Astyanax mexicanus: one gene and its partner. The protein of the gene in region 2 interacts with the protein of the main gene of each other region in a biochemical or structural test. Links are inferred from orthologs where the notes say so. Each region holds a gene or a part of one and is shown on either strand. Other genes may lie near its edges.

Region 1 (7,873 bases), on a different chromosome or scaffold from region 2:
CGCTAACCAGTAAGGTATAGCTAACTAGTTAACTTAGCTAATATAACGTTAAGCTAAGCTAGGTAGCTAAAATGCGCCCAATTCGTCCCATAAATGTATTAGCTTAGCATTAGCTAGCGGCGGTATTTAGCTTAGCTACGCTAGGTTAGCTACCCAGTATAATCAGTGACTGAGCTAGCTCAGTTCAGCTAAGGCACTGACTCGGCTGGTAATGATAGTTAATTATTACTACTAATAAATAATAATATTACTCACATCTGCGCCACTACTTTCTGCCGGAATCCCGGACTCCTCCAGTCATTATCCGGGGGAAGATCCATAGCTTCCAGAAGCGTTAGCTAGCTGCTGTTACACCGAGCGGAGTGAATGAACTGCTGATCCAAATCCGCTTCTACACCGTTAGCACGCTAGCTAACCCGGCTAACTCACCCCCCTCCACCCCCGGTGTTGTGCCGAATTCTGGCTCCCCGCCAAAACCCGAGTCTTCCTGCTGCATTATTACCTCCACCTACTGAGCTGGAGTGTGAAGCAAGACTAAGGAATAGTGAACTGCAGGAAAAACACCAAAAAAGAAAATAAAGTAAACTAAAAAGAAAGATAATACAGATAATAAACTTTAAATTGGCTTGAAATAGCTAGCTAATAACGTTTAAAGAAAGTTAACTATAATGTAAGTCTAAAAAATAAAGGACTTTGAATAAGTGTTACCTTAAATTTGCACATTTTAATTAAAAATAGTATATATAGAGTTTAAAACACTCGCCTTAATAGTGGAAAGCAGATGCATAAACCTTTGCATAAAAGAGCAAAAAAAAAAGAAAAAGTGTACAAAAAAGAAAGAGAGAGAGAAAGGGAGAAAAAAAGATAGAGATTCTAGACACAAAGAATTAGAAAAAAGACACTTAAAACAAAATATGTATTTAAATGTATTACGTAGTAATATGAATATGAATGTGAATATTAATATTAATATAGTCGATATATGTCTGTTTTCAACAAAAGCATGTTCTGGCATTTGCCAGTGATTTCTGTAAATGAATTATAACTAATACTTCTGACCACACAGTGGCGCCTAATACCAACTCCTGCTGGAAGGCATAGCAAGGCAAATAATGAAAAAATAAATAATGTGGAGTTTAAGTTTATTCTCGAAATATTACAACTTTATTCTAAAAATATTACGACCTTATTCTTAAAATATTATGACTTTAAACTTGTATTATTACAACTTTGTTATCAAAATATTACGAGTTTATTCTCTAAAATATTGTATTTTACCTATGTGCAACCACTCGACAAACTGTAATAGTGTAAATTTAATAGCTTTGTTTCAGTATCTGTATTTCTTATTTTTAGAAGTGTTTGGGGTAAACGGGATTCTATAAATATTATGGCAATGTTCTTTAAATATCACATTTTTTCCCCCGAAATATAAAAAATATATTGTTATGATATAACATCTTATAATATTATGATACTACAACTTTATTCTCAAAATATTATGACTTTTATTTTATCATATTAAAATTTTTATATCATAACACTTCGATTTTATTTACAAAATATTCCAAGTTCATTCTTGTATTATTAGGACTTTATTTAGCTTATTTAGACTTTAATATTTAGATTTTAATTATGTAATATTACAACTTTATTCTCGAAATATTATGACTTTAGTTTCTAAATATTACAACTTTAAACTTGTAATATTGTGACTTTATGCTCTAAATATTGCCGGTTTTATCTCAAACAGATCTGTGTTTATTTTTTTAAAAGTGGCCCTAAAACACCTTTGTAGGCAGGTGAAGCAGGTGAAGAACCAAATACAATTCCTGCTGTACCGCTGTGTTCACCTGTCTGCAGCTCACAGCTGGAAGCAGCGCGAAAAAACGCGGGAAATTCGAATATTTTGTCAGTTGGTGGAAGTTTCTGACAGGATTTGAGGTAATGCTAAGCTAAGCTATCTTTAAACTAGAACCATAAAATCTATTTATTCAGGACATTTTACTATACATGTGTAAATAACATGTCAAAATTGCTTTTAGACATTATTCCAAACAACTAATTCAATGTTGTTACTCAGTTTATCAATTAACATTAACCTAGTTAAGTTAGCCAACATTTCTGTTAGCTTGTGGCTAACTGATACTGTGGTAACCAAGCTAGCTCTATTCCTAGTTAACCTACCTAGCCATCACAGTTGTTTTTTAAACACATTTCTCTGTAATATTTATGTGTATGCACCTGTAATGGAAATATTACGTTTATTTTTACTATTAAGATAATTGTGGCTGATATAACCTAGGTTTTTATTCACCAGTTTTCTGTTCAGATTTTCCATTCCACCTTAAATGGTGCATTTGAACACTGTAAAAGGTGCATGTAAGCAAAACCCTGTGCAGTATTATGTTTATTATTTTTAGCATTGTGTAAAAACAAAATAAGTAATAGTGATTGCATTGTCTGCTTAGTATGTAACATTGTTACATTTGGTCACAGGTTTACACCCTCATTTAAAATAAACTGTCTAAATAAAACAAAATATCTTTTGAAACTAGTAAAAATATAAAAAAAATAAAAATAAAAATGAACTTAAATAAAATAATTTTAAAGTAGTTTAGACATTTTGTCTCAGTCCAAAAAATGTAGACTTGTTTTAAAAAATAATGGCCGATACTGATATAACTTAATATTTTAGCTGTTATAATTTCAATGGCTCTGTTTGCTATGAAAAAGTCTTAAAAAATCTTAAAATTGTTTTCCCCATAACTGCAGATACAGGAAAAATCATGTAAGTTATAAACATAGGAAAAGAGAGGGTGCAAGTATTGTCATTCACATCACATGTGGTATATGAGGTAGAATTAAATTGTGTTCTCACTGTCCAGTTACACCCAAGTACAATTGTTGAAATAAGATAAAATAAAATAGAATGCAATAACATAATAATAAATCAGATATTATTAGATTGTAAGATTAATACACTTACAACAGTGTAAGGTATATGATTTTTACCCAAAATAATAACCAGAGCCTTCTTAAAAAATGATAAGTTTCTTTGATTTAACTTGTTAAAAACCTCTGGAATATACTCAAAACGGAAGATGGATGATCATCAAAAAAAATCAGAAGCCATCAAACCAAGCTAAAACCAGGGTTATTCCACCAAATATTGATTTATGAACTCTTAAAACTTCATGAATATTAACTTGTTAGGGCTGAAAGCTCTGCATCTTTTTGTTTTTTTCAGCCATTTCTCATTTTTTGCAAATAACTGCTCTAAATGACAATGTTTTTATTTGTAAAAAAAAAAAAAAACTGTTGTCCGTAGTAACTTATATTGAATGAAACAATTTTAATTTTACTCAAACATATAATTATAAATAGCAAAATCAGAGATCAGCACTGGCTTTGCTAATGTTCTCTCCATCATCGTCACCACAGCTCCTGAGTAAGTCGATTTGTTTCCATCTCTGAAAATTGCAGCTTCTGTAAAAACTGTAGTGAGACAATTGATCATTTATTTTTTTATTGTGTTTATACCTACTCTTTTTGGGTAGATATATTTTGGAATTTAGGGAAGAAAATTGGTAAAGACATTCCCCTTGAAAGTAACTATATTTTTTATATTTTTAATAACCCTCTATTTCATTGCAATGAATCATTTATTATCAACCTTATTATAATATTAGCAAAATATTACATACATAAAGCTAAAAACAAAAAAAAAACTGCCATCTTATATATCTTTTATAAACTCTGATTTTAAAATATATTTGCAAACAATTAAGTCAATGGGCCCCTCATTGAATAAAAAAATAGGTAGATCCTTAAATGTTTTAAAGCTTTACAATTTAATTTAAATAATAATAAATATTAAATAAATAATAAGAAAAGATACTTTGAGAAATTCTTGTGGCTGTTCATTATTTTTGCAGTCTTTTCAAAAGATGAGATGACTATGGAATGTCTTCTTTTTTAAGATTATTATTGCAATTCCTCTGTTTTTTTTCTTTTTCTTTTTTCTTTCTTCCTTTTGTTATATATAACAGTATTTTAGTCAGTCATGCTTCAATAACTTTGACTCTATAACATGAACACTGTGAGGACTAAAGTAGGTGAAGAAATAAGTATATAATTCCCAAACTAATTATAATAAATGATTAATTATTAAAATTTAGCTGTCTTTAAAAAAAAGTGTATAACTGCCTTTTTATGCTGTTCTGTTATCATTGTGTCAGTGGCATTTAATAGTCTTAAAATTACAAAAAAAATATTGTGTATCACAATAATTTCTGGGACGATATATCGTCCACAAACAAATCTTATCGTGACAGGCCTAGCTAATAGTTTGCCTCAGTAGCTAGCTAAATTTCCCGTTGCACCTTAAATGGTGCAACAGACAGCAGAGGCTGAATAATTTAAAATTTAAGGTGGAATAAAAAAAAATGGTAATGTCTGCACAATCCCCCCCATTTTCTTTTAGTATTGAGATTTAGATTTATTTACTACATTACATTCGTTTTTTCTTACGTTATTTTGTTGATTTTGTTAGCTTAATATTATGTTACACGAAACATTTAAAAAAATATATTATTATTTTTCTTTTTTCTTTCTTTCGTTATTTAACGTTACCTATCTTTGACATTGCTGATATGTTGCTGTTACTTCTTCTTGTTTCCTGTTTCAATATATCACTGTACCTATTTCTATAACTAATAAAAAAATATAAAAATTAAATAAATAAATAAAGGGAGGAGTGGGGGAGTGTCGTGCCTCACAGGCACATCATTTTCTCGGTTTGAAGCGGCGGCAGAGAGGCGAGAGCAGACCCGCCCTCCAGACGCCATTTCTCCATTTCTCCACCTCACACTATCTGAGCTGACGAGAGGGAGAGGGAGAGGGCTGAAGCTGCCTGATCCTCACAGGGGAACTGAATTTAACGGGACAGAGTGGGTTTTACACCGCTTTTTCGGGTGTCAGAGACGCGCCCGAGCGGCGAGGACTACTTTCACGCTTGAGAACTTTTGCTATTTTGCGGAATCTCTTTTTAAAGTGGAGGATTTGCTCACATTTGTGTGAGAGTTTTAGTGTGAAGAAGACGTGTTGCAGGCCGCCATCTTTGTTACTGCTAGCTAACCTAACGCTAGCGCTAGCGGCACTGTTACTCTGTTACTGAAGTCGGTTAGCTTGCGCTAGCTGCTGGAGTATAGGCGTGGACAAACGCTGTTTTGGGTGTTTTTAGCGTGTGAAATACTGCTGAGGACTCGTTAATGGACGCTTTAACGTATGTTCTGTGTTTTGAAGCAGCTATCGTGATGTAGAGAGCGGTGTTTTTAGCGAGATAATAAATCTTAAGTTTAACTATGGCGAGCTTTTCTCTATCGTGAGCTGACAGTGCTGAGACGGCTAGCTAATTAGCTGCTAGCTTGCTATTATTGTCTCATGAACTAAACTATAAGTTAGTTACGTGATTAGCTGGTTAATCATTGTTTAATTGACGTTTTAATAAACTAAAATAGCTTAGCTAGTTAATGCTGTTTCAGGAAATATAATAATCTAGCTGGCTTATATATTGTTTTATAACCAACTAAAAGAACTACAGTTAATTAGGTTAGCTTGCTAATATTCGTTTCATGAACCAAACTAGATGAGCTAAGTTAGTTTTAACTAGGGTTAAGTTAACTGTCGGTGGCTGGCCAGTATAGTTAAGTTATTTCTTAAACTAAACTAGCTAGATAATATTGTTTTAGAAATTAATCTGACTGAATAATATTGTTTATTATTTAAACTTGCTGGCTGTCTGCTAGCTGTGTAGCTAACTAGGTATTTGGCGGAAGAGGGAAGGGAAAAAGGGGAACTTTAATCTATATTCTCGGTATTCTCTTGATTTGGTGTCACTTAAACTGTCTTTTTTGACCGATCATTTTTTGTAATAATCTAAATGTAATATATATATATCTACCTATTTTAAAGCAGTGCTTATTCTTTGCAAAGCCAGAACACACAGCGCAATTCATGGTAAAGCAACTAATTAACTACTAAGTTGGGTTGTGTCGGTTGCTTGCACTCCTGTCTTGTGAAACGGCAGGTTGTAGTTCATTTTTGTTTTAGCTAAAGTTCAGCTCTTTATTTATAACTAAAGCACGTTTAAAAAGTGTCAAAGTGCTGTAACGTTACAATAAGTCAGAATTAAGGCTAACACTCGTCTTTCTAATTTATTCTATAGCTAACATTTATACATATTGTATTGTTAAGTCTAACCTAACTAACGTTTGCTATTTATTTAAGATCAGACATGTCGTCGGCACGGTTCGACTCCTCGGACCGAAACTGTTGGTATTTCGGCTCGCTTTCGAGGCAGGAGACGCAGAGTAGGTTACAGGGACAAAGACACGGTATGTTTTTAGTTCGAGACTCGTCCACCTGTCCAGGTGATTACGTGCTGTCGGTGTCCGAAAACTCCAAAGTCTCCCACTATATCATCAACTCTTTGCCAAGCAAGAGGTTCAAGATAGGCGACCAGGAATTTGAGCATCTGCCCGCGCTTTTGGAGTTCTACAAAATACATTACCTGGACACGACTACCTTGATAGAGCCTGCACCAAGGTAAGCACTCTACTTGAGGTTGTATTATTAATTATATAGAATTGACTGAAATAAAGAAATATTTTGAGATATCAATTTGGGTAAAGATGATTATCCAACGTAGCTAAGTATTCTTGGTTTCAGACTTCAGCTACAAGGGTGAACATTTCGACCTTCTTTTCCACCTTGTTGGAACACGTTTGCACTTGTCAGTAGGTTCTTCCATATGTAGGTTAGCTACCTCTGAATTAGTGCTGTGTTCATGTACGAACAAAACCTTTGCCATTTACAACCCTACCTCAACTCATTCATTGGAAGATGCAGCTCTGAGTGATGGTTGTGATGGTTTCCTGTGGTTTAAATGTAGAAATTGTACAATATGGAGATATTTTATCGTATTTGAATCAAGCCAAATATATTTAATAAGTATCCAGGAGTTCATCAGTGCTTAAAAAACAACCAAAATCTACATATCATTACAAATTCTTGTTAAATTAGATGATGTGCAACATAACTATATTGTGAGGGGATTTTTGTCCCTATACAGCCTTATATACATACAACTGAAACCAGTTAATTTTTTTCGATTTGTGTTTATCCATTAAAGCACACATAATGTTTACTAATATTGTAGTCACATATCATACACCAGGAACCTCAGGGATGTATGTATAAAATTTTGTAGAATTAAATTTGCTATATTAATGTTATAGTACGTTGTTAAAATATATATGTGTATTGTGTATAATATACAATCACATATATTGGCTAAGGTACCATATTTACACGTTCTGACAGTATAAAGTATTCCTGCCACAATAATAATTCTCAACATTATTGACTAATCATGCACAATGTATTGGCATAAGTTGACTAAGAGTAATTTTTACTCATTATTTTCACGATATTACCCATTGTGTTCAATTGAATGTTTGTGTGTATATATTTAAGAATGATGACATACATCAAAGTATTAATACTAAAAATATTGTTCTTTAAGAGAGTAATTGTGTTATTTTTTATGTTGCTGTATCATCTACTATATAAGTGGCACAAAGTTGTCTTAGAATGACTGATTTAAGTTATTGTGTATTCAGGGACAGTCTGTTGTCAGAAACATTTGTGAAATGCCTAGTATGGGATCTCATTTTGTTTTTGGTGTGTTTTCTGCCATTTCTTTTATTAAAGTTGTTGCATTTTAATACCTGCTATTCCTATGTGATTAGTTCATTTAGTATGTGTATAGACTAGTTGCAACTAGCTACAAGGGGTGGGAAGTAAATAG
Region 2 (7,485 bases):
AGTGATATTTCAGTTTACTTGGCCTGATTTGTGTTTTTCCATTCTTAGTTGGGACAGGGTGTACTGGTGCAAGTATCACCATCTCTTGTGAAGAGACAGAAAACCCATTTCCACAATCTGCCCTGTGGAGCTTCCATAATCCTGGGGAACAATGGCTTCCTTTGGCTGTACCCTACACCAGGGCATCAAGATGAAGAGGCAGGAGGATACTACACAAGCCTGGAGGTCAGGAGAACATGATTTTATTAATGGTTGAAAACATAATTTTTTTTCAGCATGTTTTATACTGTGTTTAGAAGTCCATCTGTGTTCAGATTTTCTGGTTGATTTTGAAACAATTCTGTTTGATAGGTTGTAATTTGTTTAAGTTTGATATTGGATTCCATCTGTTATTAAATCCAAACTAGAATGAAAGCCTCACCAGACTTTTAGATAAGAACTGTAGGTTAATAGAGAAGTTCCAATATTCTTACTTCAGAAAAGTTTATATGCACAGATATGTTCTTTTAAAGAGGTGTTCAGAGGGAGTTCTTAGCCATATAGCAGCAATCGCTAAGTTTCTAATATGGTCCAAGCTAACTTACACTTCCCACAAGCTAATATGCAACAACTACTCGCTTATGAAAATAGTTGGTCTACAGTGACCCCCACCCCTCTAACTCTCTAACTCAATGTTTTTCTAGAGCTTGCGGAGCCTGCTAAAACCCTGAGTTTTTTTTCCACCTTAAATTCCACCTTAAATGTGGCAGCTTCACCAGCAGTCCCAAAACAAATCGTAGTTTATTTAGGATAACATTAGTGACAAGTTCTCTTTTTTGTCACTGAGTGTTCCTAGAGCCTGCTAGAGTAGTTAACCAAGGTGTGTCTCATTTATATAAATTTATTTCTCACAGGCAGATTTCTGTTCCACCTTAAATGCAGTGGCAGTGACAGATAATCAGTGAAAGATTTAAAAATAATCAATTTTTAAATAATTAATTTTAAGCCTTTTTTAATTTTTTTTGTGACTGATATTGTGTGGAAGTGTTTGAGAATCACAGCTGAGTGTATATTTCCATTCCATACACTGTTGTTATGTTGTTAAATGATAATGTAAAATGAGTAATAGTAAAATTAACTCTCGACTTAATTCATTATGTTAATGCTTAAATATTTTTAATACTGGTAGGATGTATGTTCCTAATACAAGTACCACTTTAATTCCGTAAAATATTTCATATCTGAACAATATCTTATCAAATATATTACATATATTTTAAATAAGTGTTTTCCCTTTTTTTTTATAATCAACAGCTTAATTGATAATCAAAATAATTTAGTTGCAGCCCTGAACTAAACATACAAAACACTTTTTTGTCATATAGTAATGTGGAATGTGTATGTCTATATGATTTTTTTTTGATCAGTTATAATACTGTATACTAAATATACTAAACTAAATATACTAAACTGTTTTCTCTGTGTGGCTTAGCCTGTTGCTCTATCAGATCGCGAGGTCATTTCGAGACTGAGGAACTGTTTGCTGGCCCTGGCAGCTCACAAAGTGCTTCTGTATGATACCAGCGTTCTCTATTGCTATGAATCCTCCCTCTCCCATCAGGTATGACTGGATAGACTGGGTTCAAGTTTTTAATCTAAAACTGTGATCAAACCTTCACTGGAACTGCAAACCATACCATAGTTTTGCCGTTACCAGCTTCTTGATACAGGATTAACTAAAAACTTACACTGTCAATAGTCAGTCTTAATTGCTGCCATAGATATATAGAGTAGTACAGATGACTTGATCTGATTTGCCTTTCTACCTACCAATTTTAGATCTTTATTGCCTATTTTTTGTTTGTTTACTGGCATTTGCCTGAGAATACTCAGTATTTATATCAAAAGTCAACTACTGAGCTCTCAGATCTGCTAATCTGACCAGGTTTTAAGTAGACTCACCTGTTGTTTAGCCACAGATATGACATGTAGCTGTGCTCTAGGTGTAAAGATGTGCATATGTCTTACAAAGTGTTTCTCTGTGAATTTGTTTCAGATCAAGGATATCTTGAAACCAGAGACTATGGATGAAATTGTGATGGAGACACGACAGCGACTTCTTGATCAGGAGGGTTAAAGTGCTGGTTGAAAGCTATATAAACACGAGCACAGGGAGCAGCTGATTTGAGGCAGATAATGGTCATCAAATTCCAGGAGATCCACAGTCCTGCAGCATTCACACATTACTTTTTTTTTTTTTACAGACTGTTAAAGGCCCAGAAACTAAGGAAATATTTAATATGTTAATTTGTGTAAAATGTTTTGATACTGTTTAAACATTTTGTATGAAAAGCTTTGATCTTTGTTTAATAAAAAGTGCAGTGGTTTTAGCACTGTATTTGGTTTAGTTTTTGGTTTAGTGTGTTGGCAACTGCTATGGTTTAAGGAAGAATATGCACAGCATATTAGAAAATTGTCCACAATATTCAGTGTGATTTCACAAGGGGGTGTCAGACCAGGGTTTTTGTATGGCTTCCCTCTTGTGGCCACAATCAGGATTGCACTTAAAACTTTTAAATAATTTTGAATACTTTAAATACATAAACACAGCATATTCTCAGTGTACTGAAAAAAGATTCACATGGGTTGTGGGCTGTTAAGTACAAGGTCAAATGACACTGATTCTTTGGGTTTACAACTAAAGGTATGTTCTTCAACAAAATGCAAAGGAGAGTCGGTCAGTCAGAATTTAAATTCAGTTTAATTGAAGTTTATGTAAAATGTAAAAAACATATTCAAGAGATGTGATACTGCCTACATCTTTTTATATATTCACATCTATACTCACATCTTTGGATGTGAGACCATAAATGTTTTACTTATAAAAATATAGTGTCTGTAATTACAGGTTTTACTAGTAAAATATGACCTTTTTAAAGGTCATAGACTTTTTATTTTGCAATTACTTTTTAATAGCTATAGTAGTTTTGGTGGAGGTGTGATTCAGTCATTATAATGTAGTCAGAATGTCATTATAGATCTGTAGATCTATATGTTATCTACAATTAACATGTCTTCTAGAATTACTACATTAACAGAGTTACTCGTAAACATTGAGTTTTGTATCACTACTGGTATTTATAGACTTAAGCAAAGTTATCAACAATATAAAAATCTGTGTAATTTGCAATAATAATACGAATTTTTTTAAATGCAGAAATGAAATGGAAATCCAAAAACTAATGAAATACCCTTTTTCTAAATCAACATTATAAAATAAACAGTAAATGTCATTATCTTTTCTAAACATTATGAATTTTATTTAAACAAATGGCACATATATTTTCATGGAATGTCTTTATTCTGAGAAAAAGGGGTTTAAATGTCCAGTGTTTGTGAAGAATGAAAACCAAATATTAATTAAAATGTGTCTCCAAACTTATGAGCGGTACTGTATACATATGTGGAACAGTGTGGAACAGCACTGGGGTCTTTGGGTTCAAGTCCCTATCTGGGTGGAGTTTTCATGTTCTCCCTCCCTTCTGCATGGGTTTTCTCCGGGGTCCTCGGTTTCCTCCCACAGTCCAAAAACATGGAGATCAGGTAAAGTGGATACTGTAAAATTACCCAGAAATATGTATTATTCTAAATTGATTTGGTGTGTAAGTTTCTATGTGGCCAGATGTGGATTGGCACTCTTTCCTGAGTAAAATGCTGTAGTGCTCGATGCAGTCCTCCAGGTGGATGGTTGTTTCCGGGTGAGGGTACGCTGTGCGTTATTGGCTGCCACTTCTCAAAGGAGTGTGGATGAGGGCTGAGAATTAATGATTGTGTGTAAAAAAAATATATATATATATTGTAAAGCGTCCTTGGGTTTTTTTTTTTTTTAGAAAGGTTCTGTATAAGTTTAACTAAAGTTTCCAAAAGTCGTTTGAAGGTGTAGGAAACAGTACTTACAGCTTCATCTGTAATTTTCTAAAGAAAATACTTAGTAACATAGTTATGTGTTTTTGACTTTTTCTAGTTATTATACAGAATTTAAACGGCCTCTCACCCAGTTTGTTGTTGCATTTAATTTAGAAGTTCGGAGCCTCAGGCAATTGCTTGGTTTGCTCCTTTTGCAATGGACCTGCTTATGTAAGATTTTGAAATGTATTTCTCTGATCTTGTTAGACATGCAGTATTTATGTGGCAAAAGCCAAGTTTTTTTTCTATTCAATATCTCCAATAAAAGACATCTAGTAACATTTCTCTCTAGGAGGAATTTGTTTTGGGTATGTAACATTTTTTTTTTTTTTGCATTTTTTAAAATAAAAAATACTTAAACCATCCAAAAGTATAGTTGACTGTATTATATGCTACTGGGTCTGAAACTCTGCCCCTCTGTTGGCGGAAGAGGGCGCCACGTGACGTCAAACGCACGCAAACCGAAACACCAGCCCACCTTGCGTACGGAAACATGGCGGCCCCTGCGTCGACGGCTGCTCGCTCAGCATAAACTTCTGTAAAAACTCTTCCTACACTCAGAAATACTGCAGGACATTACGCGCGCCTGTAGCGACAGCTCCTGCCTCAGTCGGGCGGGCGGGTTAGCGGCGGGAACGGGGCGAGCGGCGGTCGGTGGAGGCGGGGGAACGGCAGGTTGTGTGCCCGAGCTGGAGTGCCTGCAGTCGGGCTGCAGTATAGAGAGTTTGGAGCCTCGGAGGGAAAGAGAGCTGAACTCTTCGGATGCGGAAGTTGCGGGAAGGAGTTTCTGACTGTGAATAAAAGCCTGTCGGTGTGAGAGAGCGGCTGGGGACGGTGTTGAGCTGAGCAGGGGCTCGGTGTGTGTGTGTTCAGGCACTGCTGTTAGTGAAGTTTCCAGCTGAGGGAACCTGTTGTTAAGCAGCGCTGAGAGTTAACGCTCGCTGAGGCGGAGCAGCAGCAGGGTGAAGTTAGCTAAGCTAGGGGAGCTAAGCTAACTAACGCTAGCTTTCTGTCTGAGACAGACCTAGAGCTGCTGGATACTTAACCATATATTCTTAACACGTAGTTAACGCTAGATATCTAACATACACATACATACATAAACTCTAACGTTCAGTCGTAGGTAAGTACTGAAAACATGTCAAATTTAATGTTAAGCTGGTAGGAAAAGTCCTGTGAGATTGGGTTTTAAGTCAGAGTAATGCAAGAACGTCTTATAGGTTAGATGGCTAGCTACGTTAACCAGTTCGTCCCCTCAATTTAATTTTTAGTGAAGTTAAAGGCAAAGTTAAACCATTAAAGAGTTAACTTTCCTGTGATTTTGGCTCTCAAGCCAAGTCTCCTAAGTGTCACAGTAATATTATCACTTAATGTAAGTTCAACAGTTTTTCCTCTCAATTTAATTTTAGTTTTAGTTAAGTTAAAGTATTTTAAGGCTAAAGTTAAACAGTTGCACAGTTAACTCATTTGTGATTTTGGCTATCTAGTCAAGTCTGTTAGGATTTTTTTTTTTGGTGCGGTACACCACATTAATATTAGGGCTTAATATAAGTTTAACAGTTATTCCCCTTGATTTAATTTTAGTTTTAGCTAAGTTAAAGTCTGTTAAAGTCCACCATAGAAATATTAGCTAGCCGACTTGTTGTAGCCAGCCTAAGTTGATCAGTTAATCTTTCTAAGTCTATTCAAAGACGTTTTATATTTTAGCTAGTTATCTAAGTCTGTTAAGATTGCAAAATACCAATATTAGGCCTTGATGTAAGTTAAAAATTTCTTCCCCTTGACTTAACTTTAGTTTTAGTTAAAGTAAAGTCTGCTGAAGCCCACCACAGTAATACTAGCTAGATCACTTAATTTGACCAGATGATTTGTGGTTTGGCTATCTAGCCAATAAAAAAAAAAACAATCCTTTTAGTTTTTTGGCTAGCTAACTAAGCCTGTTGAAGTCCACCACACTAATATCATTACTTAATATGAGTTAACCCTTTATGTTCTACCCCTTGAGTTAATTTTGGTTTTAGCTAATTAGGTTTGATGAAGTCCACTAATATTAGGACTTCTTTATAATGAGGTAGCTAGCTAACATGCTCTTCCCTTGAGGCATACTTCCAGTTCCTCCCTATAGACACACATCCAGTTCCTCACTGGAAATAGAAAACCAGTTCTTCCATTGACATAATTAGCTAGTCAATTCCTCCTAATTCTTCACAGTCAACTACTACTGACTTTTTCTTCCTCATTTGGTCTGTGAAATGATATTCAGGGTTAAAGTAAAGTTCCAGGTTGCTTGTATATTGTTAATGCCTTAAAAATATCTTTTATATGGAAAACAAATGAAAGTAACTCTTAAATATATGCAACTATCATTTTAAACCTTTGAACCTACCATATCTTTTTATTACTGCAATATAACTGCAAGGTCTCATACGTTCTCAAACAGTACTGGTTTTCTCCACTTAGTCCTACATGTGCCTTGTCTCATGTATGTGCCTTGAATGGTACTGTGCACCGTGGTGTTTTAATCATAGTGTAAAGGTCCTTTTAATATCAATGTGTGATCTAATAATACCTCAGTGACAGTGCAGATTTTGGTTGTTTTAGCTCTACGTCTGTAAGCGTTTCTTGATGATGCTGAAACTAGTCACCATTCTACTCATTAACACTACTGTGCCCAGAATGTAGGCCTAGTTATCGTTTCTTCATTTTAATGCCTTTATTTTATTTTGGAATGTTTAGTGTTGTGGAACTCTTGACAGTAGCTTATATGTATGTTTTAACATCTGAACATCCATACCTCCAGGCTAGACTTTGAGGAATGTAAGACTGGGGCAATCAATGCATGATACGGACAAAAACATATCAAGTATCTGGGTGTGGGGTCTGCCTTACCACTATAGTGGACACAGAAAAACGTTACATTGGTGTCAGAAAAGGGACTGGGGATCTGGAGGTCCTGACGCTCACCCACCAACGCTGCACCTCGCTTGTTCCTTTCCATCAAATTCAATTTTACCTCTCATCAAGGCAGTGACTAACATCAGCTGTGCTTCACGGCTACGGCCTGGCAACCTGCCCTTATGGGGCAGCAGCCAGGGAAGTCTGTTGGGGACCAAAGGAGACCAAGTCTGCCTGCTCTGAACTTCATCAAGGGTGGCGGGAAGCGGGACTCATCAAGGCATGGCGCTCACAACTGCAACGTGTTTACAGTGCATGGTAAGGATTTCTCAGTTCAGTTCAGTGCTTTTTCTTGTCATTTAATGCATGTTGCAGTAGCTGGAAGGTGTTTGAAAAGTGGAAAATGCTATGAGGCTCTGCATTACTGATATTTTCCAACTTTAGATCACTGCCATAAGCAGATATTTGCCAAACATTGTTAAAAAAAATCTCTGTAATGCATGACCACCTGGTGTAGCTTGTTTTTTTTATGAGAAATAATGGAATGAAATATTCAAAAATAATACATTTTATAAGAAAAAAAAACAATTAAAATAAGATTTGTTACCAAGCAAAACACTGTAAATTAAGCATAGACCACAATGT

Evidence for each region.
Region 1: the proteins of abl1 (region 2) and crkl form a complex in vitro, tested with the Homo sapiens proteins (4 studies listed by BioGRID and IntAct, with this or other methods). The link is inferred for Astyanax mexicanus from reciprocal best matches to the Homo sapiens genes ABL1 and CRKL.

The regions. Positions count from the first base shown.
Region 1 is NC_064424.1:2,442,054-2,449,926, forward strand, and holds the start of crkl (crk-like protein), read left to right. Parts: upstream 1-4,826; 5' UTR 4,827-6,298; coding exon 6,299-6,609; intron 6,610-7,873. Other genes in the region: med15 (mediator of RNA polymerase II transcription subunit 15), read right to left, coding at 256-320. UniProt on the Homo sapiens protein: May mediate the transduction of intracellular signals.
Region 2 is NC_064408.1:20,980,457-20,987,941, reverse strand, and holds the start of abl1 (tyrosine-protein kinase ABL1), read left to right. Parts: upstream 1-4,419; 5' UTR 4,420-7,022; coding exon 7,023-7,158; intron 7,159-7,485. Other genes in the region: exosc2 (exosome complex component RRP4), read left to right, coding at 49-225, 1,472-1,600, 2,036-2,116. UniProt on the Homo sapiens protein: Non-receptor tyrosine-protein kinase that plays a role in many key processes linked to cell growth and survival such as cytoskeleton remodeling in response to extracellular stimuli, cell motility and adhesion, receptor endocytosis, autophagy, DNA damage response and apoptosis.